3 linked regions of the Bombyx mori genome follow. The protein of the gene in region 1 purifies or fractionates together with the protein of each later gene. This does not show direct contact. Links are inferred from orthologs where the notes say so. Each region holds a gene or a part of one and is shown on either strand. Other genes may lie near its edges.

The links.
Region 2: the proteins of intraflagellar transport protein 140 homolog (region 1) and WD repeat-containing protein 19 purify together in Homo sapiens (co-immunoprecipitation; 3 studies listed by BioGRID and IntAct, with this or other methods). This does not show direct contact. The link is inferred for Bombyx mori from reciprocal best matches to the Homo sapiens genes IFT140 and WDR19.
Region 3: the proteins of intraflagellar transport protein 140 homolog (region 1) and intraflagellar transport protein 122 homolog purify together in Homo sapiens (affinity purification with mass spectrometry; 4 studies listed by BioGRID and IntAct, counting the BioPlex papers as one, with this or other methods). This does not show direct contact. The link is inferred for Bombyx mori from reciprocal best matches to the Homo sapiens genes IFT140 and IFT122.

What each region holds. Positions count from the first base shown.
Region 1 is NC_085123.1:7,171,597-7,182,585, reverse strand, and holds the start of intraflagellar transport protein 140 homolog, read left to right. Parts: upstream 1-4,706; 5' UTR 4,707-4,887; intron 4,888-5,081; 5' UTR 5,082-5,172; coding exon 5,173-5,319; intron 5,320-5,768; coding exon 5,769-6,989; intron 6,990-7,960; coding exon 7,961-9,520; intron 9,521-9,588; coding exon 9,589-9,763; intron 9,764-9,848; coding exon 9,849-10,027; intron 10,028-10,835; coding exon 10,836-10,989. UniProt on the Homo sapiens protein: Component of the IFT complex A (IFT-A), a complex required for retrograde ciliary transport and entry into cilia of G protein-coupled receptors (GPCRs).
Region 2 is NC_085119.1:3,203,386-3,213,696, reverse strand, and holds part of WD repeat-containing protein 19, read left to right. Parts: intron 1-997; coding exon 998-1,194; intron 1,195-3,409; coding exon 3,410-3,610; intron 3,611-4,091; coding exon 4,092-4,303; intron 4,304-5,834; coding exon 5,835-5,922; intron 5,923-8,399; coding exon 8,400-8,585; intron 8,586-9,287; coding exon 9,288-10,172; intron 10,173-10,311. UniProt on the Homo sapiens protein: As component of the IFT complex A (IFT-A), a complex required for retrograde ciliary transport and entry into cilia of G protein-coupled receptors (GPCRs), it is involved in cilia function and/or assembly.
Region 3 is NC_085107.1:13,131,532-13,142,336, reverse strand, and holds the start of intraflagellar transport protein 122 homolog, read left to right. Parts: upstream 1-4,354; 5' UTR 4,355-4,438; intron 4,439-4,536; 5' UTR 4,537-4,580; coding exon 4,581-4,642; intron 4,643-4,881; coding exon 4,882-5,112; intron 5,113-5,356; coding exon 5,357-5,567; intron 5,568-5,880; coding exon 5,881-6,028; intron 6,029-7,970; coding exon 7,971-8,125; intron 8,126-8,973; coding exon 8,974-9,171; intron 9,172-10,541; coding exon 10,542-10,679; intron 10,680-10,805. UniProt on the Homo sapiens protein: As a component of the IFT complex A (IFT-A), a complex required for retrograde ciliary transport and entry into cilia of G protein-coupled receptors (GPCRs), it is required in ciliogenesis and ciliary protein trafficking.

The sequences.
Region 1 (10,989 bases):
TGTAAATATATAGGATTATATGTGTACTGTCGTAGTAGTAGTAGTAGTATTTAACTTCCTAGTCATCATCATCAGCCCATATAATATATCCCCTTGCTGGACACTGGCCTTCACTACCATTGAGAGGGTTTTTAGGCCTTAGTCCACCACGCTGGCCTATTGCTGGTTGGTGGATTTACACACCTAAGAAAATCCTAAGAACATTTAGGTGTGCAGGTTTCATCACAATGTTTTCCTTCACTGTTAAAGTAAGTAAGTGATATTACACTGTGATAAATTTTCATTTTCACAAACTTCCTAGTACCTTATGTAATAGGAACTGAGATCCACTTGCCCATTTTGGCTACTTCCACTAACTAACTAACTATTCTCATTTTTTCTGATATTGTTATTTGATTAGGAGATCTGTGAGTGTAACTAATTATTGACAGTTACACCTACCTTGACTACAAGATGGCAAAGGTATAATAATACGACACATCTCATTTTTAGTTGTCTCTTCAATTTCCTTGATAATAGTGAGTCTTTGCCGTTTCACAAATGCAGGCCGAGGTTCACTATGAGTGAATTTTCGTTTTCTATCTGCCCGACAATCGAATTTGGATGGTAAACAGTTTGGTTTCATTCGAATTCATTTAATGGAGCTCATTATCTTGTATTGCATATAATTCTCCATGTAGTTTTCCAGCTAAAACATGAAATAATTTTCCAACAATTTCAATACATAACCTATAAAAAAAATATTAAAATGTTATTTTACTAATGTTAGGAATATAATTTCGACTGTGTCAAAATGTTATTATAATGTATACCTACATTATCTCTTGAAAGATAAATAATGAACATATTTACTTATTTGTTTATATTACCTATGTGAACTCTTAACCTATCTTTTTTATACCTTCATAGCGATAGGTATATAGGAGGATGGAAAAAATGTATTTGGTCTAACTTTACGCGAATGCACATTATTTTATTTATTTTGTTTTTAATTTTTTTAATTAAACTGTATACCAATTAATTGATCCTTCAGGATTTATAATTGTTTTTTTTTCACGATTAAAACCGCGTAGAAAGTTTAGGCATTATAGTTGACGCATGCGCCATAGATTATACACTTATGGCATGCGCAGTACACATATTTTGTATACATTTATTCAACTAATACAATTAATTAAACAAAAAATGAGTAATTTCGAAAGAGAACAAACGTATTTTATATAAGAACAATCGAAAATGAATATTTACAAGTAATTAAGGACGAAAAAATATTAAAAATTGCAATCGAGGGGCTAACTTTTAGATATATTTTTAATATTTTTTTTAAAATAAATAAATGGGGAACAAACAATTATTAACAATGAACAATCAAGAACAAATGATGAACAAACGAATTAATAGAAAATAAGTAGAAAACAGGAAAAAAAATTTTTTTTGAGGGGCTAACTTCATTCACCCTCATTCACCCTCTATATATTTTCTGTTTACCATAGACAATTTATTTTTACGATTTTTTTATATTTTTTTGATGCTATAAGACCTGGTAACAGGAACATTGAGCTATAGTAGTTTTTTCATTATAGTAGTCAAAGGGAACATAAAACAAAGCCAGTTCTTTTGTAATATATAGATAAAATTTTTGAAGTGAATACTTCTCTAATAACGTTGAACACTTTGGTAAGGAAAAGTTTTATGAAGTCGCGTACTAAAGTTACGTATAACAACACATCGTATATGACGTATTTTTGGAAATCTAAAATTTTCTGAGGTGGCATCACCGACATGCTTATTAGCAATATATCTGTAGCTATAGAGATGAAGTATTGTGCATCATTAGTGCTGTGCTTATCACAGCCCTACTGGTATTAAATGGTTACTGGAGCCCATAGACGTTTACAACGTCTGGTGTAGTGGTAAGTGACATGGTCACTACACAAGGGGATCGCGGGTTCGAATCCCGCCAAGGGAAGATATTTGTATGATAAATATAAATGTCTTTTTCAGGGTTATTGATGTATATTAAATATATGTATGTGTATAACAAAAATCGTACATTTATATCCGTTATCTGGTACCTGTAACACAGGTTATTTACGAGCTTAGCACGGGACCAGTTAACGTGGCGTGATTGTTAGTAACTATTTATTTATTTATTTAAAACGTAAATGCGCCTCCCGCCTTGAGGTATAAGTTCTAAGGTCTTAGAATAGTTATAACGGCTGCCCCACCCTTCAAACCGAAAGGCATTACTGCTTTACGGCAGAAATAGGTAGGATGGTGGTACCTACCCGTGCGGACTCACATGAGGTCCTACCACCAGTAATTACGCAAATTATAATTTTGCGGTTTTGTTTTTTATTACACGATGTTATCCTTCACCGTGGAAGTCAATCGTGAACATTTGTTAAGTACGTATTTCATTAGAAAAATTGGTATCCGCCTGCAGGATACGAACACCGTTGCATCGCTATATACGAATGCACTGGATGTCTTATCCTTTAGACCACGACGATTTCAAAAATTTTTGGAGGATCCCGAGAAGCTACGTCCAGCGACTTTGTTTTTTTCCCACATCTGTGCATTTTCACAGATAGTAAACAATTAACAAACTACCGTTATTACACATTTAAACCTGAAGAAACACTAAATAAATAAAATAAAACAAATCACACATCTTATAATATTTATATATTATTATTATTTATTATATGTAACTACATATATTATATTAGGTTAAAAAAGATTAGGCTGTATGGTATTATACCTTTGCCTGTCCAGCTGGAAAACTAAAACTACTACTATTTTGTAGGTATAGGGATGTTCCGATACCATCAAAGTATCGATACCTACTCATTTCGATAGTACTCAAATCTTTATTCGATACTCCTAAAGTATCGATACTTACTGATATCGATGCTTTTAGCACTTTTTTTTCTGCTATCGTAAAAACAATTAACGTTGAAGGACAATAATTAAAACAAAATTGAGAATGAAAAGAAATCTTTTATTATAAACGTTTTGCGTCACTTCAAATACCTACTTTAAACAAAAAACTCTTTGGCATCAAGATTGCCCAAAAACAGTAACTGTTCGAGGTATGTTGGAGACAATATGTTCCTTGTTTGAGACATTATTGCACTGGCTTTGGAAAAAAGGCACTCGCCTGGCACGAGAGTGGAGACACGACGCGTCATCAACGCCACGCCGTTGCCACCACGCGATGGATGAATACCGGTAACCGAGCGAGAGGGCTTTTGCTCTCTCGTTCTGTATGATGCGCTCGGAAATTTTAAAGTTTTTTAAGGGTAATGCTGATTCGATTTGATACAAAGTACTTTTGTTTCGATACCGAGTATGTATCGCAAGATTGATTCGATACTATAAATACTTGGTATCGAATCAAAAGTATCGAGTACCTACTCGTATTTACTAGTATCGGAATATCCCTATGTAGGTAGTGTACCGTAAAATGGGGCGATTAGGGACAAATTCCAACTTTATGACCAATTTTAAAGTAGTTGTTGATGTATATAATGCTATATCAGGATCAAAATGATTGAGTCTTGGGGGCATCTTTGTTGTCTAATTTAAAATTATGCAACTAACATTCCAGTTTAAGCAAAAAATGCAAAAATAGGTGTAATCCCTATTTACCCGAAAATTGCGGTTAATTGGGACGAAATGAGAAATTTGCTAGGGTTGGCACTACTTTTATTTTTATATATAGTTTTAATTTATTTATTTATTTAGTTGCACCAACAAAGTGATCATCAATAAAAAAAATTGAAAAACTGACAAAAGTACATGGCAAACATCACCTCAATTATAGGTGCAATCGACAGTGCATTAACAACAATATATATACTTATTTATACATATATAGTGGGCTTTCTTAGAAACGGTTTATATTTCTCCGTTCTTGGTAAGTACTTAGGGGCTGATTTTTCTATCTGGGTTAATAGATTAGGTGTGTCGGTTATTCCATGGATTAATCAGATGAATACCCCCACTCTGAACAAATATAAAATATTTTCTTGTTACATGTCTCTGCAAAATCGACTTACTTATATTAAATTGATTATCTATTTCAACTAAAGACTTATTCCCAATTTCGCTTCGAATAAACCAAATTTTTACCAACAAATTTAAAAAATATTGTTATAACTCCATAGACAACCCTACAAACCTGTACCTATTTATACTTAGGTCGTTTCCATATCACGTATTCTCATCCCAATTGACCCCTTTTTCGTTGTTATTTATACCTAAGACGTCCAATATCCTCAAAAACAACAGATTTTTACATGTATTTTTATTTAATCAAATACATTAAAACCAATAACAACTGAGACTTACCTTTAATATATATGCTGGTTCAAACACTAAATAACGTTTATAAATCATAGTCGTCTTCTATTAATATCAAATAGCAAATAGAGAGCAAAGTTTCTAGCACTAAAATAATTACCACCACAGGAAGTTAATTTGAAACGCGATTTTTTATAAGTTAGCAGCTATTATCATACATATTCAGAGTTGTTTTGTGAACTTTCAACATTCTACTATTAAACTACAAAAAATGGAAGATTTTGCAACGAATATAAAACATATATTGAGCGTCGAAAGATTTTCCCGGTTTTTTCCCGATTCGCCTCTCAATCCCTAATCGCCCCATTTTACCGGTACGTACGTACCTACAAACATTTGACAAGCATCAACAACTTTCAATCAATGTAAACAGATATAAATACCTTTAGTTACTAAACACAATAGTTAATTTCATATGAGAGAGAATAAAAAAAATTGTTATTTAGATGTGAAACGCCAATAAAATACAGATCAAGAACATCACTAACATAATATTATTATATTAATAATATACTCAATGTAAATCTAAATGCTGTAAAAATCACTAAATATTCCTGAAAATATACATACAATACGATAAATTTAAAAAGATAATATATTCTTTACACAGCACAGCATGCTTATGATGTAAACATTAAACCAACATATCGATTGTACCTCTATTTATTTTGATACAAAACACAAAATAATTTTGGATGAAATTTTAACTTTAGTGAACTAGGCAAAAACAAATCTGTAGATGGCGTGAAGTAGAAAAAATTCAGTGACCAGAAATCAGTAAAAGAAATAATATCGACTCTCATTATGACTCTATACATAGATACTAAACTTAGTTTTTCTGATGAGAATGTGGTGTCAACTGTGGCTGCCTGGCACCCTTCATTGCCATTTTTGGCTATTGGATCTTACAATCAAGAAAAAGGTGGTTTTGCTACAATTTTCCAAGAAAACGTAAGTTTAAGAAAAATCAATTGAAGATGAAACCTATTCCATACCATCTCTGATTATTTATTTGAATTAAAAAAAAAATAGTTTGCACCATGCATTATTACATCCATGTTATATTATATAATTAAAAAATCTTGTATTTTTTTAAAAGAAACCTAGTACAAAACGTTCCATTATTCTTATTGAAAAAGTTGTATTAACATACAAAATTAAATTAAGTCCTATATTAAATATTCATAAAAGTTAATTGATTGTTTTAACCCTTTTCTTTCTCTTTAACACTGGAGAACCCGTTTACGGATACCTGGTCGAGGGGGCGAATAGACTGGTGGCTATGTTGAACTCCAGTGCCAATTTGTTTCATTATTTATTATATCAAAATTGTTTCAACTCTGCCAGGACCAGTTAGTAAGTCATGACTCAATATTCAATTTATCATTATACAATTTCAGGGTTTACCTTTAGAGGGTTGTGAATGGCCCATTTTGTCATCTAATCAAGTGACTGCTCTTGCTTGGCATCCAACAAGGCGGTTGTTGGTTGTTGGATGGGATGGTGGAGAGCTTTACATCTGGCTTGAGTACTCATGGGCCCGATTAGAAGCACCTCACAATGCAGCATTAACTAATATTGCTTTTAGCTCTGGAGGAGGGAGATTGCTTGCATCTGATGCTGCAGGATCATTGTCAGGTTGGCAATCCAGTTCAGGAGCACCACTTACATCTTTTCATCATCAACTTGGTGAAGTCATAACTCATATTTCTTTCTGTACCCCTAGACCAAGTACAGAATCTTCTATTAGGGGTTTAGCTCGAGCAGCAGTTGCTGGAGATGAAAATGCTCTAGATGCTTTAGCAGCTTGGAGACCTAGAACAACAGCTAAAATAAGAGAAGGTTCACAACCTGATAATCATTCATGCTATGCAGTCCAAGATAATGGAGTGATACTTTATATTGACCAGACAGGTGCATGCTCAGAAGTACTCAATGCCCCTGGCAGTATAATGTTCATGGGTATAATAAGCAACATATATCTTCTTGTTGCATGGGAATCCGGTGGTGCATTAAGCTTGACAAGATTCCTAACCTCTGATGAAGGCTCATTAACAACTGACACTCATGTAAGAATGGCTGCAAGAAATGGACAGTCAATTGTACTGGCTGGAAATTTCTTTGTGGCTGTAATCACAGGAGACAATGTTGTCAGAGTGTGGGATAGTGAGACTGGCGATAATGATGTTCTGCTAAATGAGAATGAAAACATATCTGAAGGTGACACTTTTTCGAGTATTACTTATTGCAATTTAAGTGATACTCTTTGCTGTGGCACAGCACAAGGTAATTTATATCTATGGAGACGAGATTATCGGAATATTTGGAAACTGATAAGTAGTACATCTGTTAAAGGAACAATTAAAGGTGTCAGTTGGGGTTCTGAAGGATTAATGAACCCACTGTTACATGTAAACTGTATAACCAGTGCATATATTTTACGGGAACAACCTGTTTGTTGGGGCTACTCTCCCAATATATCAATGGTACAGAAATCTGCTAATGAGATATTTATAAATCACATAAATGAAAACACAACAATAATAAAGAGCAATGTAACCATAAGGGCTTTTGCATTCAGAGACCAATATATTGCCATAGGAGATGGAACTGATGTACAGGTACTTATTATTTTATTTAAAAAATATAAGTAGTAATAGCATCTCTTCTGTCATGATGATCAAATAATAATAATGTTACTGATAAACTTTTGCATATGTATTTAAGTCAGAAAAACAAAACAATCTGATGCAACAGCAATTTGTTACTGGGCAAGTATAAGCAGATACTGGGCAAGAGCAGTAGAATATCTAGTATATTTATGAAAATGAGACTTCACCCTCAAGTTTTAAAGTGGGTATAATTATTGTGCTGCATGTAGTCTACTGTCCTATGGGATATGGTAACTGCTAATATCAGATGGGCTTTAAACTTGTGTGTATCACATCAATAGTAATGTTCAAAATATAAAACTGAATTGTCATATTGTAATACTTGCACGATTTTTTTATTGCCTTCGTAGACAGACGAGCATATGGTAAACCTGATGGTGAGAGGCTACCGTCGCCCATGGATGTCAGCAATGCTAGCGGTATGGCCAAGCCGTTGCCTACCGTTCAGTACTCTCATTTGGAGTCTTCTTGGCCTAAAGAATAAGACGCCCAGTGCATTCGATGCAACAATGTTGGAATCCTGCAGGCAGGTACCAATTTTTCTAATGAAATACGTACTTAAATGTTCACGATTATTTCCAGGATGAAGCAGTAACATCGTGTAATAAAAATCATACCCGTAAAATTATAATTTACGTTATTACTGGTGGTAGGACGTCTTGCGAGTCCACACGGGTAGGTATCACCACCCTGCCTATTTCTGTCGTGAAGTAGTAATGCGTTTCGGTATGAACGGTGAGGCAGCCGATTTTTCTGTAGAAACTGAGGCCTTAGAACTCATGTCTCATGGTAGCGGCATTTACGTTGTAGTTGCCTATGTGCTCCAGTAACCACTTAACTTCACATGGCCCATGAGCTCGTTCTTCCATTAAGAAATAACATTGAAAAAAAGTTAATATTTCAAAAACGAATTGTTACAGATCTGGATGTGTAACAAAGATAATGACTTGAATTTTTCAATGATAAGAACCTTTCCATGGAAAACAGATGTGCTAATATTATATAATGACATACTAGTTGGTATAATTAATCCGCACATCGAATGTCATTCAGTTACGGGTGTACGCCTCGGAAGTCTGCCTACTAGCGAAGGTGAAGGAGAACCAATTAGTATCACTCAAACAAATAAATACGTTATAATTGTTACTTTGGACGGAACACTCAAACTAGCTGAGATCACTAAAAAAGGACTAAAAATGCCATGTCCCCCCAAAAATTGTTATCAAGTTATTGAAGATTTTGGTGAAGTTATGAGAGCATCTGTAAGTTGTAATGGACGTTACATTTGTTTGAGCGTAGCTAATTCCGGTTTAGCCCCAGACCCAAGGATTTACTTATGGGATGCAGCTAACGATATCATAACCAATATCCTCATCGCTGAAAGTTCAAAACCTCCATACCAAACGGTACCTATTGCAATAATATGGGATAACAGTGATCCGAGAATTGTAGCCGTACACATGAGATCAGCAGAATCAGATAAAATCTATTTATTTTTCTGCCATGAAGGAAAACTTCATGAATACGTGAATTGGTGCTCCGCGACGGAAGATTATGTTCAAACGGATTTTATACTTTGTTCCTTATGTAGTCCACACGTAGTCATATTGTCGCAGCAAAATATAAAGAGACTTTTGATGAGTGAATTTAAAGATGTAAACGACTGCGATACAAGCACAGTAAAACAAGTTTTAGATTTCCTTTATTATACGACAACAGGAAACTTAGAAAAGGCTGTCGTCGTGGGTTCTAGTATTTCTGGTGGTACCAGCCAGGTCATTTGGTATAGCTTAGCAAAGATGTGCGTATCTCTGAAACGTCCTGATGTAGGATCAATATGTCTTAGCAAAATGGAAAACATAAAAGGTGCTCTAATGATGCGTAAAGTCATGAATGACAACAGCATGGATGACAACTGCAAAGTAGCAGTGCTTGCTGTAAATCTTGGTATGATAGAAGAAGCCGAAAAGCTATTTCGTGAAGCACAAAGGCCTGATCTAATCACTCGGCTCGTATCAGCAAAGGAAGGTGGACTACTTCAAATAATTGAAGGAAATAAAGACGGTGAAAATATGTTATTGATTAAAAGTGCACAACACAAATTAGCTAAACATTTGTGGTCTAATGGAGAAACAAACGCATCGATTAAGCTATTTGAAAGTGCCGGAACTTTAGTACCACATGTTCCCAGAATGTTAATAGCTCAAGGCCAAACATCGGTACTAGCTCAGCATGTAGCTAATTCAAATGATACAAATTTGATAACATGGTGGGGACATTATTTGGAAAGTTTAGGCGATCTAGACGGAGCGCTTTCAGCATATGCCCGCGCTAATGATTTCGGTGAACAAACTAGGTTACTTTGTCACATGGATAGAATAGACGAGGCAGAGAAGTTATGCCAAAATAATCGAACCGCTGTGTACCAAATGGCCCGCTATTTTGAAATGCAACCCGACAAAACTGAAAACGCTGTAAAGGTATTTAATATGCACTTGCATAATAATTTTTTAGTGCGAATATATTTTTAAATATACATTTCAACTAGATGTATATGAAAAGTGGTGCTGTGTCGTCGGCTGTCCGTGTTGCAGCTGAGGCAAGCGCTTGGAATCTTGTTTGGCGAGCTGGCTCTTCCTCACCAACTCACGCTCTATACGCAGCATCTATACTTGAGAATGCTGGACAAATAGAACAAGCGATTGCGTTGTATCAAAAAGCGGGTTAGAACGCTGTTTCTATAACGTACCTATCGTTCATGTATCTGATGATTTTTTATATTTTAATGAAATCCTTTAAATTAAACAGGAAAAATACATATGGCGTTAAAATTAGCTCTGGATTCCGGTGACACAAACGCAATGGTTGCTGCTGTAGAATCATTGGGCGATCGAGTAGACCCAGAAGTGGCTCACACTCTGGCATCACATTTACGGAAGGCAAACCATCACTCGCATGCAGCTGCACTTCTAGCTACGGCAGGAAAAGTATTAACAATTCTAATTTATTTTTTTATAAGGGATTTTATGACCTGGTAACTAAGACCTTTAGGTCAAGTCTTATTTCAATTTATATTCTTAATTTTATGAAAAATGATAATATGAAATGAAATGTAATGAAATGAGATGAGATGATATGGTATGAAATGTAATCTCAGTAAAATGGTGGTCATTTACTGAGACTTTTTCAGTGGACTTTTTGGAGGAGCCAGAGAAGTTACGTTCAGCGGCCTTGTTTGATTTTCCCACATTTGTGCACTTTCACAGATACTAAACCGTTCATAAACCACCGTTATTACACATTTAAACCTGAAAAAACACTAAATATACAAAATAAAACAAATCACACAACTTCACTCCTCGCGTTCCCGCCACAAAGTCCAACAATTTTAAAATGTGTAATAGAAATGTAGTATATATGAGTCGTCTATTATCAAAGGTGGCAATCTGTGCATTTGGACAAAAAAATGTTATTGATATGTCAATACAGATTGATTTGAATATAATCGTCTCCTTCAAAGAATACGGTTCAAAACCTGCATTAAATATAGATTAATACTTAACCTGTTATTTATCTAAGATGTCGTTCAGAAGAGTTTTGTGACTGCCAATGGAATACAAAGTCAATAATTTGTTTTTCTGATTTACCAATAATTGTCCAAAAGTCACATTGCCGGCTTTGATAATAGTCGACTCATATGCAATAAAAGTAAAGTCTGTAAAGTAAAATAAAAAATACAATCCTAATGGGCTCTAACTAATCCATATATTTATTGTATTTTTCATTCATTTTAAGTATGAAGAAGCATTAGAGTTGGTGGAGCAAAGCTCGGCACCATTGTCGGAAGAATTGAGTGAAAGGTTGGCCGCTCCTGCCGGGACTAGTGGACGTGATGTCCTCTTGCGGCGCCTCGCTGACGTGTTAGGCACTCGCGGCCTATACCACCAGG
Region 2 (10,311 bases), on another chromosome or scaffold:
GAATAATCAGTCGCTGTAGTGTGAAAGACAGTGACATCTTAGAGAAATTGATGGTCACTGGAAAGGTCGAGGGCAAGCGACTAAGAGGCAGGAACCCGACCCGTTGGACGGACCAGATTCGTGCAGCCCTGGATACCACAGTGCACGATGCTCTGCACTCAGCTGCAGATAGGAACAGATGGCGGTGCACTATAAAAAACAATCTGTTTCAAGGCCATGACCACGACCCTCAGTAATGAGGAAACCGACGCAAGGAGGAGAGAGTAGTGTTTATAACTTAAAGTGATAGCGGTCAACGTCGAGGCGTCGTCGTAAACACGTCATTTCGGATCGTCCCAATTCACTCAGTGTTTTTGGATTTTTGGGACCTCAAGCACCGGTCATCGTTCTCGTCGAACCCATCGCACGCGATAAAGGGTTCGACGAGTAAATTAACCCACAGACACAGCCTACTCACTTTCTCGCCGGACCTTCTCAGTGGGTCGCGTGTCCGATCCGGTGGTAGATTCTGCGAAGCACTGCTCTTGTTAGGGGCTAGTGCTAGCAACCTCCTAAGGTTTGAGCGCCGTGAACTCACCTGCTCGTTCGGCGAATCTAGTATAATCCCTCGAGATTACTAGAATAGGTGGAAAAAAAAACATGTGTGCAATTCACACGCGGTAGAAGTGAAACCTTCAAAAATTAAAATACAATTATTTTAAATGTCTAAGTATGTGTAAAATTTTGTCATATTAAGTAAATAATTGTAAATCATCTTTTATAGTATGAGGTAGCGCGTTCTGTGAATACAAGAGGTTTCATAGACACGTTAGTATTAAAAAATCTCATAGATGGCGCTGTATTAATGTGTTCTATCTCATTCTCTCGGCGGCTCAATCCTATACATTTATGTGTTTGTGTCTCTGTGGACTTATTTTTTCGTTTCATCGAGTTTGAAATCACGACGTTTGACTTTAAAAATATTGTCTGATCTGCGCGTGTCGCAACTCGCACGCAGCAAGGTCACGTGGAGCACTTCGGCGTGGAGGAGTGGCGCACGAGCGTGCGGCATCGGGCGGCGGGCGCGCTGTGCGCCGCGTACGGCGACATCAGCGGCACGCGCGCCTGCCTCGCCGACACCGCGCGCCGCCTGCTCGTGTACTGCCCCGCCGCGCCGCACGACCTCTGCCCCCTGCGCGAACCGAAACTTTTCAGGTAACTCCTTCTTTTTTTAAGGGATTTTATGACCTGGTAACTAAGACCTTTAAGTCATGTCTTATTTTAATTTATATTCTTAAGTTTATGAAAAATGATATTATGGAGATTAATGAAATGAAGATGATTAATTTGAGACATTAATCAACTGGGATGAAATTAAATGAAATGAAATGAGATGATACGGGATGAAATGTAATCTCAGTAGAATGGTTATCATTTACTAAGATTTTTTCAGTTGACTTTTTTGGAGGATCCCGAGAAGCTATTTCCAGCGGCTTTGTTTCATTTTCCCACATTTGTGCACTTTCACAGATATTAAACAGTTAATAAACCACCATTATTACACATTTAAACCTGAAGAAACACTAAATAGACAAAATAAAACCAATCACACAACTTCACTCCTCGCGTTCCCGCCAAAAAGTCTAACTCCTTCGGACCAGTGTTGCCGCTGGGCCAACATTGGGTTGCCGTACTGGTGAAAAAAATCTACCGTATTTAAACAAAAATTGCCGTACAAAGTAATTCAAAGTTTATTATTATTTATTTCTAGATTAGAAATTAAAATAATACATATTTTTCACTCCTCTCTTCTCATCAAATCTGTATTATTGCCTAAAGTAAGTTCAGTTTCAATAATCTGATCTTTTCCGTAATTTCATGGTTTTTTTTTCATTTATTGATCATTTCGGGGGTTGGCTTAAAGCTCATACTATTTTGCTAATATTGTTCCATTTATGGTAGATGTTAAGAGGCGGTTTCTTTGTTTTGTTTTGATTAGGTTTACTGCACTGAAGATTCTTTTTTATACACATTTTATACATTAACTCATGTATCACTACACTGCACTTTTTCAAATGTCAAAATGAAGCTACACTTGCTAGTACAAACAATGAAACAAGAGCGAGGCGACTTGAGGAGACGACTCGAAGAGCAGGCGTTGTAGGTTGTAGGGAATTCCCCGTACCATACATATTGTCTATTACAAGAGTTGGATGCGCTTATGTTTACGCAAAAAGTATTCACGTTCTGTAATCACTTTAGATACATTAATTGTTTTTTTAGCTTTATGCTCTTGTTGCCGTATTTTAGAATACGGCAATGACCACTCTGCCGTATGCCGTACTATTTGTCTTTTAGAAGCATGATTGCCGTACGAAACGGCAATTGCCGTACATTTGGCAACGCTGCTTCGGACATACATAATGTGACCATACGTCCCGCTTTGGACGGGATTGTCCCGCTTTCAGGCTGTACGTCCCGTTGTCCCCAACGAGAACCAAAATGTCCCGCTTTTATTTATCTGTTGTGCTTGTGTTTATTAGAAACTTACCGAACACTTACTTATCCCAAATTTTTATTGTATTACAAAATACATACTAAAGTAATTCTAATTTTGCTGTAGAAAAGTAGTTTTTTGTTGCGAAATTATTTATAAATATTATTTTAAGGGTAAGTTGGTGTAAGAATTAAGATGTCAGTGAGGGTAAGATACCATAATAAATTATTTCAATTAATTTTTTAAACCATTTTTTTATTTTGTTCTTAAATATTACATCTTACCAAATATTACATCTTACCCCGACATACCCTATATTATTATATGTATTTATTTATATACGAAATACCGTAAGCGTCCCGCTTTGACACGAAAAAAAAAAGGTCACGTTAGAGATACATCATCACACCCATTGCCACATACGAAAGATCTCTGTCTATCCTGAGAATCTACCTCTAGAATTTTTCATAAAGCCTGTGATGAAAATCCTGTCGAAATATGATGGTCACGACCCTCAGCAGTGAGGAAACGACGCGAGAAAGAGAAAGTCTGTGGTCAAATTGAGAATAGATTGACAATAAATAATAATGTTAATTTTAAATGCCCAGCAAAGCGGGCGAATACGGCTAGTATTTTATAATATGCAGTGATCGTAATCGAAATAGGTACCTACCAATGGGTATTTACCACCACTCTTGCCTGTTTCTGCCGTGAAACAGTAACGTGGCTTAGGGGTTAGCCGTTAACTTACTTACTGGCGGTAGGACGTCTTGCGAGTCCGATGTTTTAAACTTCGCGGTTGTTTACATTACACACATTACTTTTACGGGTAGAGTTACACACTTAAATAATAGTAATGCGTGTGTGTGTATGTGGGCCTGTACATGTGTGGAATAAATAATACATTGTTGCAATTTGTTTATTCTGTCTCAGAGGGGTCATCTGGGATATTTGTTTGTCGGATCGGAACGTGTTTATCGTGTACACGGATGACAAAATTGACACATACTACTACGTGTCGAACTCTATAAACGGATCCCACGTTGACCTGGTCGCGAGCACCAGCATCCTGCCTGGCCAGATCCCTCTCATACTGTTCTCCGGCGACGTGTACTGCTACGCAAGCGGGGGCAGGTCAGTTGAACGAATTAATTATTTCAAGGAAGGATAGGGAATGAGAAATCTTGTTTTTTAATATTACCCGTGAAAAGTTTTAAAAAAAATCGATTGAGCGCTGCTGTTCTAACCAGGGGCTCAGTCAAATCACCGCTTACGGCTGAGTAATCATGAACATTGGTTGGAAAAGAAGCGATTTACCGTTTTCCTATGGTGCGCTTGGTAAAATTCAATAACTAACATTTTTATATTGTTATAATGTATTATTTTACTGAAGTCTATGAGCGACGGTGACCCCTCATCATCGTATAGGACGTATGACCAGTCTGTTTTCGAACTTAATTAAAAGATCAGTTACTATCTTTCCTCCATTGATTGTAAATGTTTTTTTTTTACCAAACTGTCTTAAATCTGTCACTGAAAATTGAACTATAAAGTCTTGTACATACGAAGGGTTTTTAATATTTTTTCATTACCTTCATAATTGTTTTCTTCGCAGCATCATAAAAGTTCCATTAGATTCGCACAACACGAGCGGGCTGGCGGACCCGGACACCGAGAAGCGGGTCGCCAACCAACGGAAGCACATCGAGAAGATGCTCCTCCTGAGGAGGTTCAGTGACGCCTGGCTGTTCTGCGACGCGGTCGACGAGCCCGACGTGTGGCGGAGACTCGGCGAGGCGGCCATCGCCGACCTGAATGTGGAATTTGGTTAGTTGAATCTGAACACCTTCAAATCAAATTAAATAAAAAAAATTATTCAACATAAATGAAAGTACCTACTTGTTGAACGTCAAAAAGAACTACCGTCAAATTCACAAAAACTAGCCTCCGTCCTGAGACGAACTGGCTAGAAACTCAGCGGGCATGTCTTTTTTTTTTAAATATTAGATAAATAAAAAATTAATATTCATTTTTACAATGAGTGTTCTTGATTTGTGAATGTATTTCCTTTGTGATTTTTCTTAGGTGGTTTGTGAAGTCTGCCGTTAAATTACAAAATACTATTAAATTCTTTTTGGTTTTAATGTGAGAGTAATATTGTGAGAGTAATAATATTGCGCGTCTTGTAGCTGTTGAGTCCCGTTCAGAAGTGAAGGTGGTTGTGTGTTTTGTCACGTCGCGGGGCTCGCCGGTCCGCCGGTTTGCCGCCCCCTCCCTCGCCGCGCTGTCTGCGTCTCTCCCGACTCTGCGAAAGAGGAGTTGATGCGTAAACAATGAGTATTTTAATGTAACAATTATTGCAATATTGAAATGCCCGGAGCGACCAACTCATTCCCACATTGTGTAATCTTCTAGATAGTCATTGACTTTATAGTAAGCTTTATTGCACAGATGTTCTTTAATAGTTTTCTTAAACCCATGTATATGTAGGTTCTGAACATCTTGCGGGAATTCGTTGTACTGTTAAGTTACTGTTAACGCAGTCAGAGGTACCCAGCCGCCGTCGCCCGCCGTGTGGTATAAGCCCGCTGAGTTTCTCACCGGGTCTCCTCATTGGGTGCGGCTTCGATTCGGTGGTAGAAACATCCGGGAAGGACCTGCGGGGCGGCTACTTGCAGGCCCCTTGCCTCCCGGCAGAACGCTAAAGACGTTCTGACGAGGCTGGGAAGGTATACAAGTCAGCAGGAATACACCTCTATATAGAGATAGAGAGAATATAGACGATAACACTAAAACACTCGTCGGAGTGAAGGGATCAAAAATTTAACCTCACATTTAAAAATGGTGGGGCATATTGTAAGTCTACATTGATAGCATTGTGCATTGTTATCCCGCCCGGGTAAGTATCCGCATTCTGCTCATTTCTGCTGTTGTTATATAATACAATTGGGACTTCGACTTCGGATCTCAAGATTGATGACGACGTTCACGTGAAGTGTCAACACGTCCTTCGAATGTGGTTTACTGGACCTCTTGTGAGTCCGCATGGGTAGGTACCACCACACTGCCTTTTCTGCCGTGAAGCAGTAATGCGTTTCGATTTGAAGGGTGGGACAGCCGTTGTAACTATACTGAGACCTTAGAACCCATATCTCAAGGTGGGTGGCGGCATTTCCGTTGTAGATGTCCATGGGCTCCGGTAACCACTTAACACCAGATAAGCTGTGGGCTCGTCCACCAATTTAGCGTAGATCCCAAACGAACACCCATTATACCCGAACTTGAGGTTAATAATAATAAAGGCGACATTAAACTTTGAGAATGTTTGTGTGTGGTAATACGTCGGCCATGCCCGCAGCGATACGTGTGTACACTCGGCTGAGCGACGTGGGCACGGTGTGGGCGCTGGAAGACGCCGCGCATGTTGAAGATTTGTCGGTGCTGTGGTGAGTTCAATGCCTCTTCGCAACTACGCCATGTTTAGGTCATTGAATGAATACGTCAAAGGGTCTTTTCGGTGAAAACGTGAGGAGCGCATTTTTGAAGCGAAACTTCTAATGCGACTTCCAAAGAGGTTGCGTTAAACGTGTAACGCTACCATGAATAGAAAGAGACAGAGCGAGAGCGAATGCGCGACACTCAACCGCACGCGCATAGTATACCTGTTACAGCGCGAGTGCTAGCAACGAGTAGCGGCCAATATTTTAATGAAGTATTTAAAACTATAGGTATACAGTCGTGATCAACTAATTAGGGACAATCTCTAGTTAAGCCAAATTGTGAATTTTATTTTTTATTTTTCAACGAGTCTTAGCAATATTCCATATCTTTTACATGTAAGTGTAATCAGTCATTTATATGCGCGATTATACAAACAATAACAACTTCTTAAACATTAAACCTCTTTACAGTATAGCTGATACAATATCATAGTGCTATTGGTTCAAAGAAAGCTGGCTAGCCATTTAATTAGGGACACTGAGGTTATTCCGTTCTAATTTCAAAATTGGAATTTTAATACTTTTTTGTTTCTTTTCTTATTGTTTAGTGGTCGTTTTGGCGGCAATCCAGATTTTTTATTTTAAGTTTTGAGAATTATTTTAAAGACAAAAATGGGCAAAAATAAAAGTTGCGATTCAACACTACGAAAAATTATCATGAAGTTTGTCGAGCGTGGTTGGTCATACCGAAGGATAGCATAACATTTAAATTGTTCAAAAACTATGGTATGCAATGCAGTGCAACATTTCAAGCGCTATAACACAGCTTTAAATGTGTCGATAAAAACCACTCTGCAAGAAGATAGAATGATAACCAGGTTAGCTAAGAAATAGCCGTTTCTAGGCTCTATTTTAATTAAACACGAAGTGTTTGGGGCAAACGAAAGAGCCGGTGTATCTGCGAGGACCGTTCGACGACGTTTGGTAGAAGCAGGGTTGTTCGGAAGAGTGGCTCGCAAAGTACCGTTGTTAAAGAAAGAACATAGAAATGCTTGGTTGGGCATTTGCACGTAAATATGGACATTGGACCTACGCCCAATGGCAACATGTACTTTTCTCTGACGAGACCAAGGTTAATTTGATTTCTTCAGATGGAAGGCAATATGTACGGCGTCCTGTAAAAGCGGAAATGAATCCAAAATTCACAAAAAAACATGGCGGTGGAAACATTAAAATATGGGGTTCATTTTCTGGATGTGGAGTGGGACCTGTGAGGAAAGTTCAGGGTAACTTAGACCAACATCAATACAAGGCAATATTGGAAAAAACTATGCTTCCCTATGCTGAGGAGCATCTCCCTATTATATGGACGTTTCAGCAGGATAACGACCCGAAACATACCGCCCATTCAGTCAAGTCGTTTCTTACCAGTCAGTTTGTATCGGTGCTAGATTGGCCAGCAAATAGCCCGGACCTCAACCCAATTGAGCACCTTTGGCACGAAATCAAGAAAAAAGTTGCCACTTATCGTAATACAAATTTGGATGAACTTCATGAAGCTTTTTGTAAGACATGGGCAAACATTCCTGTCGAAACATGTCAGAAACTGATAATGTCTATGCCACATCGGTGTCAAGCGGTAATTACTAACAAAGGTTTTGCTACTGGGTACTGATTTTACACGTAATAAAATGGAGCTGTTCAAGATATTATAACATTGAAGATTATAAGTTTTGTGTAACTGTATTTTTCATTATACTTTACTGTCCTTAATTAAATGTCCACTACAGAATTGTACCTTAATATTTAATACATGTTTAATCTTTGATATTAAATACTTTTTGTATTTATTAAATCTTTTCTTTACAGCCATTTATAGCATAATAATCGGACCACATTATGCAAATAATAGGTGCTGAGAAATCAATAGGGTTTTATATTTAAATGTACATAACCGGTTATAGCCCTTCACTATCTTGAATGTCCCTAATTAGTTGACCACGACTGTATGTACATTTATTTTCTATATATAATTTGTTGTATAAATATTGAAGATGTCGCATCTCTTATACACAGCATTCCCTATTACAAGATCAATCTGATTTAAAGATGACAAATGAAGAAAACCACAATACTACCGACGAAAAAGAAGTTTCACTTCATCCACGTGCACCAAGTAGCACGCGCACCGTTTTTTGTTTATTGCTTAGTATGGTAGACGAGCTCATGGCCCACCTGAAGTTAAGTGGTTACCGGAGCCTCATCTCCGTGGGCTGTGTCTGATAGTTAATTTACTCTTCGAGCCCTTCGTCGCAAGCGACGGGTTCGACGAGAACGATGACCGGTGCTTGAGGTACCTAAAAGCACCGTTAGTGGATCGGGAGGATCCGAGATGACGTGTAATATTAATTGTAGATCGATCGGCAAAAGGATTTTTTGCATAAGAATTATGGGTGTAATGTTGCGGTTGTATTGTCACACAGTGGCATGCTATGCGCCTGCGTGGGCCAGGGCGCGGCGGCGGCTCGGTGGGCGGAAGGCTCGCCCCTGGCCCTAGAGCTGGCGTGCGCGCGCGGCTTGTGGCGCGACGCGGCCGCGCGGGCGCTCGCCGCCGCCCCGCTGCACGCGCCGCTCGTCACCGCGCAACACGCGCACCACCTCGAACTCACGTATGCATACATACAAACACCCAATGCTACATGTCTAATCTCAAAGCTGGGAACAGCAATATCATATTGTGGCACCAACTGTGGTTTTGTCGCAGTGAAATGATACCACCAATTACAATTTTATATTTAATTAAAGAGCGATCAAATACAAATGTTAATAGCTAAGCATCCAGCGTATGTTTGTCTCCAACTCAACCGAATGAAAATATTTTGCGAGTACCGTTGAATATTATATATAGTGCGATGCTCCAGCGCAGGGCCGTACTCAGCGCAGGGCCGCACTCAGGCTCGCTACAATATCACACAGTACGACACTGCTCTGTGTAGTACGCGTGTGTTTTTAACTTCTCGATCGCCGCTAGGACCTGATAGATCTACATTTGCCGCTAGAGGCGCTGCTCCTTACAAATTTGAGTTAACTTTTACGCGATCGATAAGTTAAAAAACTCACACTAAGCATACAGATCACTAGCTAGATCAAGATGTATGACCCATTATGTTTTCTGAGGTTAAATGTCTATTTCTGCTGCGTGGGGCATTCCGATTTAAGTTATTTAAAATGTAATAGAGATGAGACTTCGGTTTTGTGAAGTGATGCTATACTGGAGGTGATATCTACAAGCTCTGATGATCCCTATAACATGAGATGAACTGTGCAATGAAGACAGATTTGCTGTCATTTATTATTTCTTCATCTTCCAGAGCCGATTATCACGAGGCACTGGCCAACTACGAGAAAAGTATAATTACCGAGAATTTAGACGATGCGAAAGTAAGGGAACACAATAGGAAGTGCGAGGCCGGTATAGCGCGTACTGCGATCCGCTGCGGTGACGTCATGCGCGGTGTTACCACTGCCATGAAACTCGCCGATGACGTCACGCTGCTCAAGGAATGCGCTCAGCTCTTAGAAGAAGAGAAGCAGTACAGTCACGCGGCCGCTCTGTACGATCACGCCGGTAACACCGAACGAGCAGCGTCTCTATACATCAAACTGAAATCTTGGCTCAAAGTCGAAGCCCTGTTACCTAAGATCAATTCGCCCAGCATCCACATTCAGTACGCCAAAGCAAAGGAAGCGGAAGGTCGCTACCACGATGCATTAAAATCGTATCTGAAGGCTCAGGATTACGAAGCGGCCATCCGATTGAATCTCGATAAACTTGAAGACATCGACGAGGCAGTTCACTTAGTTCAAGAAACGAAATCGGTGCAAGGGGCGAAAATGGTCGCCAATTACTTTCAGAACAGCGACGACTCGAGCTCAGCGATAAAGTTCCTAGTGATGTCGCTTTGTTACGACGACGCATTCCAGCTGGCCAGGAAGAACGGGAAGCTGCAGCTGTACGGCGAGATACTGATCCAGACGTCGCAGGCTCGTTCGGAGGATTTCAAGAGCTTGGCCTTGCATTTCGAGGGGGAGAAGAATCATTTGTTGGCGGGAAAGTTTTACTTCCACGCTGCCGATTACAACAGAGCCATGTCGCACTTGCTGAAGGCCGGCGGCTCCGAAGAAGACGAGAATGAGGCGATCAGTGTAGCCATCGACGCGGCCGCGGCTAGCGACGACGAACGACTAACCAGGAGGTGATTATATTATTGCAAATCCTTTAGTTTCCATGTAGCGCCGCGAATAGCATTGACTCCATTTTTTTAGGTGTCATAGAAGGCGATCCAGGGTTTCACTGGAGAATGGTCAGTAGTGTTCTCTGACTATTATACCAGG
Region 3 (10,805 bases), on another chromosome or scaffold:
CACCCCCCTCATCCATAGTGGAGTTCGAGGCGAAGAGTTTGACCAGAAGGTCAGCCTTCTCTTTCGCACTATGGGTCAGAGTGTCATCAGAGTTACTTAGTGGTCGGAGACAAGACCTGCAGAAAACACGGCTCGCAGAGGGATAGCCTTTCAGTCGCTCACCAATTGGGATTTCGAAAGAAAAAAAATTATCGATTTTTTAATTGTATTTTAACACTTTATTATTAATAATATGGATATTTAACGCAAAAAACTTAAAAACATTTTTTTTTATTAATTATAAAGATTTAAAAATTTATAGAATAAAAAAAATCACGTGACTTATATACGCGCCATGATTGGTCACCACACTTGTGACGTCATAATGGTATAGCTATTTAATAACAGTACAGCGTTTACGACAAATACACGTGACTAGACTATAATATTGAAAATTTATTGGTAAAAAACGAGTTGTTAGTTAGTTACGATTAGCTATGTGTGATAAAGGATTTATTAAGGCAAAGTCTGAAGTTTTGGGATTATCACGGTGCACAGCTTGAAACCATTTAGTTCGACGTTTGTCATCTTGGGAAACATTTAAAAATATTTTTTCAGGAGTTGTACTACAAAGTATTCATGCATAGTCGTACAAAAACAAGAACGATAACTTTTGAGGTTCGACATCTTCAATATAAATATTTGATTATTTAACAATGACCACAAAATTAAATAGATCAAAACACTGTACTAATTATTGCCACAGTGGAGGCCACCACCTCCGTAGATGGGTACTGCTCAAGCACGCGGTCAGTCCCCTCTTGTACGTGGTCGAACAGAGTTGACCCCTGTGTAGGCCCCTGATATTGCTGAAATCCAGATTAAATGTGGAATGGAGGTCCACGGAAAAAACTTTTTTCCTATTGTCGACTATAATTTGAGTAAAAAACTTTAGTTGGAGAGTAAGGATTTGGAGAGGTAGGATGTTAGTGATGATATCAAGGCAATACATGAAATAAAGCGCAGAGCATAGTGAACATTCAACTAGGGGTTGCGCGAGGATCTGACGCAGGGTATGGAAGGGCCTCCAGTCCACCCTGCATACGATCGCTGGGATCCACTCCCGTCTCCGACTCCGGCACGACGACCACATGATAGGATTTTACACAAGTTGGCGGGACAGCTTCCCGGGGCGGAGTTTATTAGTGACACCCGGGTTCAGGTCCCCCACTAACCGGCAGGCGGTGGCAGACACAGTTTCACTGGATCCCCCTATACCCCCGTCAGCAACCAACGTCCCGCGGACTTGTGAGCACGTTTGCTCTGCATGTTGCAAGTATCACCAAAACTCACCTCCAACTAGGAGGAGGAAAAGAAAGTAAGAGAACTGGCTCTCCAACCCACACGCTAGAACACAGCTAGGTTATTTGGCGGCAAATTACAGTTGGAGGGTGGTGGCCACCAGTCGGACTAGGTCTTATCACCGGTTGTGTTTTCGGCTCCTGTTTAGGACCACCCAGGGGTCACTTGTAGGTAATCGCGGGTTAAAGCTACGGAAGCGGGAAGCATCAACCCCCAAAAAAAAGCTATTACGTTTTTTCTGACGTAACGCCTGACTCCAATTATCATACGGAGGGAAAGATTCTGCTGGGCCTGCAACCTCACCTGCACCACGTACAAGTTGAGATGAAACCAGGCCTCAGATACGTACTTGAGTGGACACACCTCTTGTAGATGGCGGTGCTAGGCTTGACCAGCAACTTAGAGTTCAAGATCGACCAAAGAAAGAAGCTTGCTGAATGAATAGTTGCTCACGCCCAATTGATGTGGGCCATAATACTTTCTTTAAAAAAACGACTCTTCATTCCTTACTTATGTCTCCTGAACCTCCTTCCTATCTAACTCCCTATTTTCAACATCTTCACTCCAGCCATGAGCGGGCTCTACGTTCTCTCCATAGCCTATTAATTCGTTGTCCCACACATAGTTCTAGTTATGTTCATAACTCTTTCGTCGTGCAATAACTAACCGTTGCACGTTCAAGTTAAGGGTTGGGCGAATGTTGTTGGAAAAGTTAGCGGAATTATCATGAACTTATTAAGATGAAGTTATTTGTTAAGGAAATTTATTAATATATTCCTTGTATTACTATATAAACTATCATATGTATGTATGTATGTATATATTATTATGTATGTATGTATATACTTTTTGTAACTTAATATAAATTTCATTGCACACACTATCCACTCTGCACTACCTTTGGTTGATTAGACATAAAGTCCGCCAATGTAAATTTTACATGAAGTGTAACAATTTTTTTTTTTTTTTTTATTGCTTAGATGGGTGGACGAGCTCACAGCCCACCTGGTGTTAAGTGGTTACTGGAGCCCATAGACATCCACAACGTAAATGCGCCACCCACCTTGAGATACAAGTTCTAAGGTCTCAAGTATAGTTACAACGGCTGCCCCACCCTTCAAACCGAAACGCATTACTGCTTCACGGCAGAAATAGGCAGGGCGGTGGTACCCACCCGCGCGGACTCACAAGAGGTCCTACCACCAGTAATTACGCAAATTATAATTTTGCGGGTTTCATTTTTATTACACGATGTTATTCCTTCACCGTGGAAGTCAATCGTCAACATTTCTTGAGTACGTATTTCATTAGAAATATTGGTACCCGCCTGCGGGATTCGAACACCGGTGCATCGCATCAACACGAATACACCGGACGTCTTATCCGTTAGGCCACGACGACGAAATAAAATAAAAAATAATGCTCTGCGAGCGCTCCCGCAACGCAAACCGCGGAGACTAAGCTTAAGGACTATACCATATAGGACTGCCGCGGTATTTTTCATGTTAACCGTGACACTCCACCGGTCCAGCTACTAAGGTAAAACTTTCAATAGCCTCGGTATCATTGAAATGACCGCTAGGGGAAATAAGGATGATGGGAAATAAGTTATTTTGTTGGCATCAGCGTTAATTTTACGTCTACTTCTCACGCGCTAAGATTCCACGATAAGAACGATTCTGCCCTCCAGGTACGACGGCGTGCGACTACTACTACATAGGCATGTTGCAGAGCCGTTTCCCTTTACAACTTGTAGACCCGTCCCATGGGCCAGACATCGTCGATGGCTTTCTCGATATTGAGATAAGTGACTGCCGAAACGCTGTTGAATTTTCCCGAACGTTCGTGCCTTACGATCTCTAGTAATCTTATGATTTTTCAAAGTCGTTCAGCTTGTCCCTTGGTATTAGTTTAAAATTTTATTGTTTGCTTGCGCACTATTCTGTTAGTGCCACTATTGGTTAAGAAATAGCACAGGTTGTCATTTCTGTTATAAAATAAGAATATATACCAGGGTTCGCCAAATGGCGGACCACGGTCCGCATCCGGACAGAGCAACTTCCACTACAGGGTATGGAAGTGTCTAGTGCAGAGTTCTGCATAAAATTTGTGTGTGGTGATAAATATTCAGAAAAAAAATAGCTTTGCAACTTCTTACTTTGCTTGGATCAACATATATTGGCGAAATAACATTTTCGTAGATGCACTTCAACAAGAACAAATTTCGATCACGACTTACTGATGAACATCTCCAGGATTTAACGTGAATAACTTGCACCAAATTACTTCAAACTTCAGACAGATAGTCCGCAACAAAAAATAGAATTTTTCTCATGGATATAATAAAATACTTTTATTATTTCCGTTATTACATTTGTTAAGTAAATCTTTTTTCTTTAAAATATTGTACATACCGCGATGTTAATTTCCTAAAACAGACCTCAACCGAAACTAATCGGTAACTTTCATATTGGGTATATATTTCTTAAAAACTTTCAATACTAATGAAATTTTTTCGATTTTCCTAGAAAGTTGTTGGACGTTTAAAGTTGAGGCGATTGGGTTCTGGAGGTGAGGGGCTATTTAAAAACAACTCTGCTTCATGGTTAGTATAATTTATATAGGCAAACACTTTGTGCACTATTACACCATTACAATATTTTATTTTTATAAAACCCTAAGATGTTGCACTGTCCGTGTCTAGATGAGAAGTCATTGTCTTCACTGAAGAGAAGACAATCATCTGTTTTAAATATTTAAATACTTAAGCGTTCCAATATTCGAAAACTGTAACCTTATAAGTGTTAAGTGTTGCCTGCCATTACTTACATATTCAAACTACAACAAAAGTCCATTGAATCCTTAGTAAATCTAACTACTACAAAAAATACGGTGTTGTTTTATTTTAATTAATTTCGCTCCATTTACTAATCATTTATATGAAAATCTTTTGTAACAAATATTTGAAGTAATAACCTATGTTTCCTTTGCCTATCTAGTGTCCTATGGAGACAAAAAAATCTTTTAAATAATAAACAATTTTATGTAATCTAAATACAACTTTGTTTGTATGTACGTATCACTACGGCTACGTACGGTACGGTACATTTATAAAAGTATAAGACTCATTCTATACAGTTTCAAAAAATAAAGTACCTAAACCGAGCTTAAATTAAGTAGAAATTTTGTTTTTAGGATTACAATTTTTTCACATTGTAGTTTACCACCGATAAACAAAAATGAGAACGTTACCAAAATGGGTAAATAAAATTCACGAAGCTGACAAAATTGAGTTTTCTAGGTATGAATCGTGTAACAACTTTGACTTTAAAATAAATAAAAATCATTAATTGATAAACCTAATATAAACAATTAATACACACAAAAACATAATTATTACATTAAAGTTAACATCTTGAACTCAACAGAAGTCGCAATCAACATGATATGACTATACTCATGATTGACTCATGATTTACTCAATAGGCTCGGAAAGCATTATTTGTGAACGAGTTTTACAGTTGGAATTAATTATTTCAGTGTCCACACATTATGCTTCAGTCCAGATGGAAGCCAGCTGGTAGTTGGAGCTGGAGAGAAGGTTATGGTTTATGATCCTAGGGATGGATCTCTTCTACAACTGCTGCAGGCCCATAAAGGGGCAGTTCATGCTGTAGCTTATTGTGGAGATGGCAAGAAATTTGCAAGTGGTAGTGCTGACAGGAATGTTATTATTTGGACATCAAAAATGGAAGGCATATTGAAATATTCGTTAGTTGATTATATTTACTTGGCAGATGAGTAATGTTTAGTTAAGAATTTGCAGTGATTCGGGGTAATGAAATTTCCAGATATTGAAACATGGGATAGTTGTAAATTTTTGTTTCATCTCATTGTAGATAAAAGTGTTCTGAATATTATTCAAGCACAATGTATTTTATTGATCATGATTATTTTTTGTTGCTATATTGTGTCCTTCAAAGAGTTTTTTTTGTTTTTTTTTTCTCTCTTTTAGACACAGTGAAGCAATACAGTGTCTCGCCTACAACCCTGTAACATTTCATTTGGCCTCATGTGCCATTTCTGATTTTGCTTTCTGGTCAATGGACATAAAAGCTGTTCAGAAACATAAAGTTTCTGGGAGAATAACAAGTTGTGCTTGGTCACCAAATGGGCAATATCTGGTAATTGGTTTAGCAAGTGGTGCTGTAACTTTTAGGGATAAAGTAAGTAATCTATTTGTTCACTATTTTGATTTTATTAAAGTCTATAAAATATGTTGAATTAAGCACACTTACCTTGTATTTAAATTTACTTCTGAAAAATATAGCTCTTAATAATTCTTCCTATAATTTTTTTTTTTAAATTACTTCATTGAAATATGCATTGTAGCAATTACTCAATGATTTTTAGTACAACTGGTAGCTGTTGAGATTTCTAACTGTAGATTCAATGTACTATTGTCCTAGTTTCTTAGTGTTTTTAATAGCTTTTATAATTTTATGTGTTTTATTTTTGCTAAACCAATATTTTTTTTAGGTAGGCAATGAAATACAACGAATTCTGAGAGAAGCTGCAGTTTGGGCGGTTGCCTTCTCAAAAATGACTTTACTTGTCACTGATTGGAATGAAACACTTTCTTTTTATACAATACAGGGTCAGCAAACACTAAAAGAAAGAAATATTGGTAATATGCATATTTACACCTCAAAATGTCATTAATATAAAATGAAATTAAAAAAGGATCCCGACCATCAGGCAATCCTCAGCTATGCCCTTGTCATTACTTTTACCCATTGGTTTTATGACTCGTATCAATGATTCATATGTGATCTGGCTTAAGAATGAAAATTAACTATTGTATTTAAAACAATAAAAATGGTAAACAAACTAGTTTAATCAATAGAAATAGAAATTGTAATTTTTTATAGACTTCATCAGATGCCACATTTAAACTAGTACCGTAGATTGGGGGGAATAGGAACTAGGGGTAGAATCAGGGATGTCTTAAACTAGGATGGGGCCCTTGGGCACACAAGAATTTGAGGCCCTTTTGGAAAGTAAAAAAAGCGAATTATAATAACATTTTTTTACTGAGTATGACCATTTATTATAGGTAATCAAATACAGTATGATATAATATGTTATTAATGATATTAGAATGCTGCTGGTTTTTTGGTTACAATTTCGATAACGGTTTCTTTCGGGATTTCTGTTGAGCAAAATCTTCTATTATAGTGATTTGTGAAAAAAGTGTAATGTGCCCGAAAAAATGTTTTGAGAATAAACGTGTGAGAGAAACTGTCGGTCTTTCGGGGCCCCCTGAGAATGGGGGCCCTGGGCACGGGCCCCGTGTGCCCTTATGGTAAAGACGGTATTGGGTAGAATAGGGACAAATCTGGGTTGTCACAATGCCTTTTTGAGATTTAAATTTGTTGAATTGAAAATAACTTTTATTTAGTGCTTAAGAATATTACATAGCTTAATTTGGTCATAGTCATTTGTAACTGATTATAGATATTGAAAAGTTAAATACCTAAAGGTAAGAATCTATCTAACAACTAAACAGTACCAGCCCTATCGAAAACTCTATTGTCCCCATACATGCCCTGATTCACCCCAAAAGCCGAGGTGGATCAGGTCAAGCTAGTTTTTTAAGTTTAATGTATATTTTTTAATGAACTATGTTAATGTATTTTATATGAAAATTTTAACCTCCGCAACCATTTTAATTTCAATTTTATTGGGATTAATTACCCTAAGATAAACGCTCTGAAAATTTGTGTTGGAATTGAAAAGCGTCCCTATTCCCCCCAATCTATTGTAGACACAATAATTATGTATTTAATACTTTGTGCAAACTTTTTCATACTAGCTCTCTATTTTTTACTGCTTAGATGAGTGGACGAGCTCACAGCCCACCTGGTGTTAGTGATTATTAGAGTTCATAGACATCTACAACGTAAATGCCGCCACCTATCTTGAAATATGTGTTCTAAGGTCTCAGTTTTTACAGTACAACGGATGCCATACTATTCAAACCGAAATACCTTACTGCTTTACGGTAGAAATAGGCAGGGCGGTGGTACCTACCTGTGCGGACTCATAAGACGTCCTACCACCAGTGTTCTGATGCCTTTATGTCCTTCACCTAAAATCTAAATGAACTGGGGGGAATTGATTTCCATAACGGGTATATGAAATGAAAGCATGAATCTCCTAATGGATAGAGTGTAGCGGTTTCTGAAGTGGAAAGGGCAACGGTCCATAATTCCGCTTCGCTAGTTAATTTCCTAACTTAATCATAAATGTTTTAATGAGCTCGCTGTATAGATAACGCAGGAGTAGCTGGCTGATTCTCCTCGGCTTCGTTAGCACCGCGACTTCATCGCGCTTAAGGTGTTGTGTGTTGTGTTCAAGAGCTTAACAGTCAGTTGAAATAAATTCTAAATTTCCATTCAAACATATATTTTACAAAGCATGCTGATAAGGTCGTGGTGAAGAACTACAATGTTTTAACCACTATTATTTTAGTTCTATCGTGTGAGAAGTCGCCAGAGTAAACATCTGTCTTGGGTTTTGCGACACATATGATATATTAGAAAATCAAGTACAACATGTTTTTTCAGGAATGGCGGCTGTCTCTATTATGTTACTTGATTCTTTGATCCTCGTTGGTGGTGTGGGGGGATGGGCGATACTCACAGCAGAAGGAGTGCCTATAATTACAACTTCTCAAGATTGGGTTTGGGCAATAGCTCCTTCACCCTCCTTCAATAATATTGTAAGTTAAAAGTATACGTAAATTCGAATAAATTGATTTGCAACACATGTACCGGTGACTTATTCACAAACACTAACGTTGATAGGAAGTTAAATGCTGCTTAAATATCTGTCAAAATTAAATTAAATTGTAACTTAATTTCACTTTAAAATAATTTTTTTTTGGTTGGTAAGGTGTGGCTTATAAGTATGTGGCAGTGGATGTATGTTAATATGACGAAATTATAAATAATCATGTCCTATTGTCTTGCTTGCAATAACGATAAACGATCGAACGTAGCAGTATACATGAAATTTGGGAATATTGGGTAAAATTGCCAATAATGTTGTGTGTCGGCCCTTCTTTATACTACTTATAGAAATTAAAAAGAATAACAGTAATTCTTGTGGCGGACGTCAACTTTTGTTGAAAAGTTGCGTTTTTACCTTATATCTTTAAACGAGCAATTCTTGTATATAATATATACATATATAATCTGAATCTTGGAAACGGCTCCAACGATTTTCATAAAATTTAGTATACAGGCGATTTCAGGGGCGATAAATCGATCTAGCTACGATTAATTTTCAGAAAATGTTGTTTTATTCGTGTTTTCAATAATCAACTTTATCGATAATAATAATAATAAACATATTTTTTTTATTGAAATACATTTCGTAATTAAATATAATTTCTAAAAAACACAATTAATCAAAAAATTAATAAATAGCAAAGCTAAGTCATCCTCTAGTTTTCGTTTATGTGAAAAAAATCCTGGTACCTATGCATTTCTTCAAATTATAATATTTTTCAAACCGGAATGCATAAGTTTCGATTAAGTGTTTCACAAAAAATTATTTGCCTTACAGGCTGTGGCATGTCAAGACGGGACGCTCTGGTGCTATCAAGTTGTGTTCAGTACTGTGCATGGTTTATACCGTGAGAGATACGCTTATAGAGAGAACATGACCGATGTTATAATACAACATCTCACCACCGGTAATAAAGTACGGATTAAATGTCACGACAGAGTACAGAAGATAGCAATTTATAAACATCGACTTGCCGTAAGTATGCTTTTTAAATTAATCATATTAATTTAAGACTCAATATTTCTCATCCTGGGACGGCCACCTACCAGATGAATCGACGTCCTAGTGAAAGTCGCTAGGTCACGTTGGATGCAGATGGCAACGGACCGGCCGCACTGGAGATCAATTACCCACACGGATTTCCTCCCGGATTAGGAGGAGGAATCTCACACCCCCGATTACTCTCTTTAGACAACCCATACCCTGGGCCAGGAAGGTCAAGTACCTGGGCGTTAGCCTGGATGCATCGATGACATTCCGCCCGCATATAAAATCAGTCCGTGACCGTGCCGCGTTTATTCTCGGTAGACTCTACCCCATGATCTGTAAGCGGAGTAAAATGTCCCTTCGGAACAAGGTGACACTTTACAAAACTTGCATAAGGCCCGTCATGACTTACGCGAGTGTGGTGTTCGCTCACGCGGCCCGCACACACATAGACACCCTCCAATCCCTACAATCCCGCTTTTGCAGGTTAGCTGTCGGGGCTCCGTGGTTCGTGAGGAACGTTGACCTACACGACGACCTGGGCCTCGAATCAATTCGGAAATACATGAAGTCAGCGTCGGAACGATACTTCGATAAGGCTATGCGTCATGATAATCGCCTTATCGTTGCCGCCGCTGACTACTCCCCGAATCCTGATCATGCAGGAGCCAGTCACCGTCGACGCCCTAGACACGTCCTTACGGATCCATCAGATCCAATAACCTTTGCATTAGATGCCTTCAGCTCTAATACTAGGGGCAGGCTTAGGGACCCCGGTAACCGTACTCGTCGAACTCGACAAAGAGGTCGACGTGCAACCTAACCCATGCATCAGCCCGCTGAGTTTCTCGCCGGATCTTCTCAGCGGGTCGCGATTCCGATCCGGTAGTAGATTCATTCGCGAAACAATTGCTCTTGAGTTGTTAGGTCTCCTTCGGAGGCGCTCGGGCAGTTGTTAGCAAATCCCACCCCTCTTGGCTGAGCCTTTGCTCGCCCACCTGTCCTGGTGAAACTGGAAAGGCCTTCGGGCCACCAGTAAACTTTCAATCATAAAAAAAAAAAAAAAAAAAAAAAGATCAATTAGAGATACCTATGTTCAACAGTGGACTGAGTTATAGGCTGAGATGATGATAATAATTTTTCATCGGTCTAATGTGCTTGGCAAGGTTGAATCAACAGGCATTCAGTTGGCACATAGACGAATAAAAGGGATTTTATAATGTAACTACGGCTGTAACTTCTATGCCTAACTGAAGCGACCGTGGCCTAATAGGTAATGCCTGTTCATAGCAGGTGAATGACAGTGACGTGACCTGTGTCACGTTTTCTCGGGATCTTAATTTAATTCGTGTTAACAGGTGCAATTACCAGAACGAGTGGTTGTGTACGAGCAGGGCGACGTTGAGGGAATGCTGTACAGAGTGAGAGAGAAACTTCCCCAAAAATCTGAATGTTCACTATTAGTGGCCACCAGTGACTCATTGCTATTATGTCAGGTATTTTATTTTTATTTTATATTAACTATAATATCATAATTATGTGAAACATTTTCTCACATACTGGCGAAAAACTTTTTTTTTTAAGGTTTGCAATTATCTGCTCTGTAGAATGCTCTGCAATGG